Kluyveromyces lactis: one gene and its partner. The protein of the gene in region 1 purifies or fractionates together with the protein of each later gene. This does not show direct contact. Links are inferred from orthologs where the notes say so. Each region holds a gene or a part of one and is shown on either strand. Other genes may lie near its edges. The genes, in order: TIM21 and MGR2.

Region 1 (2,926 bases):
AGCATTTGGAGTCTGAAAAACCAGCAGCACGTAAGTGTCCACAAAAAAGTAAACTATGGAAAGCATCTCTGGACCTTCCCCCGGAGCCTGACTTTGATAAGTGCAAATGTTTGGAAGAGCTGTTGCCGTGTCTTTCTTCCCCATTCAAGGAATCAAAGTCTTATAAGTCATACTTTGATTATGTTTGTGCTCAAATTGACTGCTCAGACATTAGCAATAATGGAGCAGAAGGAGAATACGGAGAGTTTGCCGATTGTAATGCAAGACAGAAACTTAGCTTACAGTTGAGTAAACTATATTATGCATCTGGCAAAGGTGGAAGTACGTGTCCGTTAGCCAATGAGGACATTTATTTTAACTTCAAAAGCTACAATACAAAAACCCAGTGTCAAGCCTTAATCAAATCGGTTCAAGATTCTGTTAACACAAAAAAATCAATTAAAGTTCCAACCAATGATCAAGATATCAGTAATCTTGGTAATTCGCAAAAAATATGTTCCATCCTGCTTCTTTTGACAGCTATGACATACACGTTCTTTTTATAAATAAATCAAATGCACTTTGTTTAGATAGACATGAAATAAGTTCTTCGTTTACTATTTTTTGGCGGAGCAGCATGGCAACCCCGCATCTTGTTTAAGTTTTCTTAAAGTACCATATTAACAGTCAATATTGCACTGAGGAGAATAGGCGTCAATTGTTTCATTAGAATTATGGAATATATATATGGCGGGTGAACAACAAAATAAAAGAATGCAAAAGTGTTCGTATCAAAAATGAAAGGATTTGATATACCATTGGTGTGATTCATTACAGTTTAGTCTCTTTTGGGGCCCCAATTAACTCCCAAGAATCCTTTTGGTTTGACAATGGAAAGTTTGGGCTTAATCAAATAATGACGTTTTTCTCCAGGAATATCAAGGTACATTGAAACGAAATCAGGTTGGTAATTTACATCGGATTCTTTGGCTTCCACATGAACGATCCCCATTTTCTGCTTGGATTCTACATGGAACCTCATGAGATAATGTTCCTTGCCCTCCTTGTCAATTCTTCTTGTCGATGAGATTGGTCTATTTCTTGTCCAACGATCATCAGTTAAAATTTCTCCGTACGCTTTTAATCTCTCTGTAGACGTTTCCGTATCGTTGCATTTCAATAATCTTCTGGCGACTTCATCATTTTCTACTTTGCTAACGGCACGATTGAAGATTTGAGTATCCCCCGAAGGAGAGAATAGCTCTGCTCCAATCAAATAGATGACAACTCCAGCTAAACCAGTGGCCCCGATGACCAGTATTCCGGAAAAGGTAAAAGTCGTAAAAGCCCTAATTCGCGGCCATAGTGGTATCTTCTTTTTTTGTTGCTTGTTGCCTGCATTCTGTTGAGCATTGAACGTAGAATATCCTTGAACTGTATGTTTTATTCTGACTGGAGATGCAATTAAAGGCAAACAGAGTGTCTTGGATGAGAATTTTCCACTCAAAGACTGGGCTGGACGTGATATGAACTGACAGAACATTATTGCCTTTGTTAGCAGCCCTCTGACTCAATGTCTTCTGTTGACGAAAGAATCTCTTTTGCCTTATTACACTACTTATGTTTTAAGAAGTTTTGAGTTTTTAGCCTAAGAATTTAATTCTCTAAATTTGACAAGGACGGTGTTTCCTTTGGAATACTATATACCGGAGTAAGGACAGAGGGAATTAACATAAGACGAAATTCGTAAGAATTGCATGAACCTGTAGGTGTCACCGAGACCTAAATTGTTTAATCTATTGCTGCGGAGATATCGCCTCAGTTCAACAGGTCGTCATAACATCCTCAGGGTAAATGGGATCATTCCCTTAAATGAACATATTCAGATGTTTATGTAAATAGCTGTAGGAAGACGTTTTGGTGGCTACATCTTGAGCCACAGATATTGGGTAGATTTGCAATAAATTTATACTTATGTGGAAGAAGGTGAATGAATTGGTGCAGAAAGAGTGATAATGGCTACGTTTTATTGAATTTAAGTACAGTAGGTGTTTCGAAATTGATGATAACTATCAACTCTGGTAATGGAAAATGGTGATCGGTCTTAAAAGTGCAGGTAAAACAAAACAACGGGAGAAATGTTGTTATTACGGATAATGGTAGAAGCAAGTTAATGGCATGCAAACAGGAAACCGTTTATTTTACATAAATATACTATTTGAAATTAATCAATCCTCATGGTATACAGAGTTAGTGAACAAAAGCAAATAAGTGCTTTTTACAGCCCCTTTAGTGCAATGGTTAGCATACATTTTTCCGGTGGATGTGATCCGGGTTCGAGTCCCGGGAGGGGCTCCTCTGATTTTTGTTCAAAATTTGAATTCATACTACGTGCCGATTCATTCAAATTCCTTTATAATACTTGAACCATCAATGGTGTTCAGGCCCAATGCCTACATTTTTTTTTGTACAAACTCAACCAATGGAGGCTAATATTTATTAGCAATTGTTAACAACTACTATATACTGCTGTTCTTTCCTTCAAATTGTATGATCAGAGAATCTCTTTGGGTAGGAATTTCAATATGAGGCTCCATCCTGTGACTGTTTGCATCCGTACATCTCGAATTTATATATGTTTTTCAGAAAATGAAAAAATCGAAATTTATACTTCCTACATAGGAACTCTATCATGAAAACCTTATATCTTAGGCTTACTAGTGAGCCCTGCCTGGCCGCCTATGCATTTTCCATTGACACTGGTTGTTTCTCTTGCCAGATAGGGGTTCCCAGCCTAGTCTCATCCCTGCACCCACCTCCAGTACCCCTCCTTGGCACTCTTGCCCCATTCGCGAGCCTGGCCTCCTTCCTATCCACGACAGTGCCCTTTGGCCTCAGTTCTGCGGCACTGCATAGTCCCTTCCAGCCTGAAACTTGTTTACGCCCT
Region 2 (2,586 bases), on another chromosome or scaffold:
TTTGAACAATCGATCAATTGACACACAATATCAGACAATGGCGTATTGATCGGTATCTTGTTCAAAATTCTATTCTCATCGAAGACTCTGATCAGTTCAGCTGCCTTAACGTTTTCAAAACCTGAACCACCAAATAAAATTCGCGATACAAACTCTGCATCGTCACCTTTACCAATTCCATGAATCAGATCCACAACTTCTTTAGCTAACCTTTTTTGAGCGTATCTTTCATTTGGCGATAGTGCGTGTTGAGCCATGATGTCTTCAATTAATTCCAACGGTAACAGAGTAAAGATCTTCAATTGCTTTGCCACATCTGCATCAGTAGTATTCACGAAGAACTGATACATATCATAGGAGGTATTGATTTCAGGGTCAATGAATACTGCATTACCCGCCGATTTACCGAATTTTTCTCCAGTGGAGGTCGTCAATAAGGGCACCGTTAAACCAAAAGCTGGACGAGTCTTCACATGCTGGGGAGAAATTCTGTTGATAAGATCGATACCCGCTGTAATATTACCCCATTGATCGTTACCACCAACTTGGATGGACACTTGTTCATTTGAGTACAAATGGTAGAAATCGTATGCTTGTAAGATCTGATACGTGAATTCGTTGAAACCAATACCATCTTGACTTTGCAATCTCGAAGAAACGGAATCACGACTCAACATGTTCTGTATACGAATATGTTTACCGTAAGTAGCAAGGAAATCTAACATCTTAACATCCTGCCACCACGAAATATTGTTTAGATAGGTGACCTTACCTGGTGCATCTCTTTCCTTAATCCTAGACTCGTAGTATTTCAATCCATTCGTGAAAAATGTCTTGTACTGTTCCACAATCCTTTCAATGTTCCCTTGTCTCTTTGCTTCAGCGATAACATCCCTCTCAGTTTTCCTCCCACTTGGGTCACCAACTTTGCCGGTGGCCCCACCAATTAACGAAACGACGTCATGCCCTCTCACATAAAAGTTCAAAAGAACCATTAAGGGCAGTAAATTACCCAAATGCAAAGATTTCGCAGTGGGATCTGCTCCACAATATAGTTTGATCTTATCACCATTACTCAGTTTCTCAGACAATAACTTCTCCGGCTGTGAAACCTGCTGAACCAACCCTCTCTCTCGAAGAACCTGCAATACATCGCATTTCGTTGCCAAATTTCTCACAAGCAACCTCCCAAATATCATTGCAACTTCGAAGCTTTCAAAGCAGAAAGATCAACTGTTAGTATATATTAAAAAAGATAAAGCTTTAACAACCTACTACGGCCAATGGCGCTGTCCAAGACTGACCTTTAGGCAGTTTTCTCGTCTGAACTTCAAAGTCACATCAAATCGGACTCGAATCGAAATTTTCGAAGTTTTCAAACTAGAAAAAAGAATCAAATTACTGTACCAAATGTATGAACGACCAACTCCACAAAACGTAACGGAATTAACCAGGGTCTCGCTCTCTTTCCAGACATCCAAGACTAACGCGCGCACAGATAACACGAACCACGACTTGAACCAGAAATGCCACCACCACCAAAAGTTTACGGCCAACAACAACAACCTTCGAACTGGGAAAAGTTCAAGATGGGTTTGATGATGGGTACTACCGTTGGTGTTTGTACTGGCATCTTATTCGGTGGTGTTGCCATTGTTACACAAGGCCCAGGTCCAAACGGGTTTGTGAGAACCTTAGGGCAGTACATCGCTGGTTCTGCTGCCACTTTTGGCCTATTTATGAGTATCGGTTCTGTCATTAGAAGTGATGGAACTTCCGACAACTCCCACAACAATGGTTTCTACCATAGTAAGATGGCCGAATTGCAACAGAGATCAAGATTTGAAGTATGGAAAGCTAAACAAACTTATGGTTTGTACAAGGATTAAGCGTTTTTACCCAGCAATTGTACATGGGTCAGAGGCAGCGGTACCTACTAATCTTTTCGTATCTACTCTATTTCTGTCCTCTCGGTATATTTTTAAGTAAAATGAATATTGTAAATAGGAATTTAAGATGATCAATTTTTCGAGAGGAGCTGATGAAGTAAAGAACCTGGGGAGATTACAGTACACACGTAGGGATCACAAAGGCATACTGCGAGCTTCAGAATTTGTTTCCATTGCAGTTAGTGAACGGTGTAAACACACACTTTGGTATATTCGTACCGTTTTTTCTATTTGGAAGAAGTTGACATAGATAGTAGAACAATAATGTTCAGACCGTTGGTGAAAAGAGTCGTAACTCGCCGTTTTCTAGCGGCTGCTAATAACAGTAATGCCCATATAGAGATCAGGACTCTAGAAGATCTTGCCAAGCTTCAATCACTCGATAACGTGGATCCTAAGTTAATTAGTAAGTTAATCAATGACAAGACTAACGAGCTTAATATTAAGAACGAACTACAGATGTTGAAACAGTTACAGGCAGAAGAACAGAAGACACAGGAGACTTCTCTCAAGAAGTTTGTTAGGCCAGCATGGATCTTTCTACTAATGGGTTCTATCGTATATCTTTCTTGTCATTATGTATGGTGGAAATTAGATTACGAGGAAAAAGAACTCGAATATACGCATAAAGTGCACC

Evidence for each region.
Region 2: the proteins of TIM21 (region 1) and MGR2 purify together in Saccharomyces cerevisiae (affinity purification with western blotting; 3 studies listed by BioGRID, with this or other methods). This does not show direct contact. The link is inferred for Kluyveromyces lactis from reciprocal best matches to the Saccharomyces cerevisiae genes TIM21 and MGR2.

The regions. Positions count from the first base shown.
Region 1 is NC_006038.1:517,752-520,677, reverse strand, and holds TIM21 (Tim21p), read right to left. Parts: upstream 1,523-2,926; coding exon 818-1,522; downstream 1-817. Other genes in the region: GAS2 (1,3-beta-glucanosyltransferase), read left to right, coding at 1-545. UniProt on the Saccharomyces cerevisiae protein: Essential component of the TIM23 complex, a complex that mediates the translocation of transit peptide-containing proteins across the mitochondrial inner membrane. Required to keep the TOM and the TIM23 complexes in close contact.
Region 2 is NC_006041.1:2,160,786-2,163,371, forward strand, and holds MGR2 (Mgr2p), read left to right. Parts: upstream 1-1,526; coding exon 1,527-1,889; downstream 1,890-2,586. Other genes in the region: tyrosine--tRNA ligase MSY1, read right to left, coding at 1-1,199; INA17 (Ina17p), read left to right, coding at 2,214-2,586. UniProt on the Saccharomyces cerevisiae protein: Required for cell viability in cells lacking mitochondrial DNA.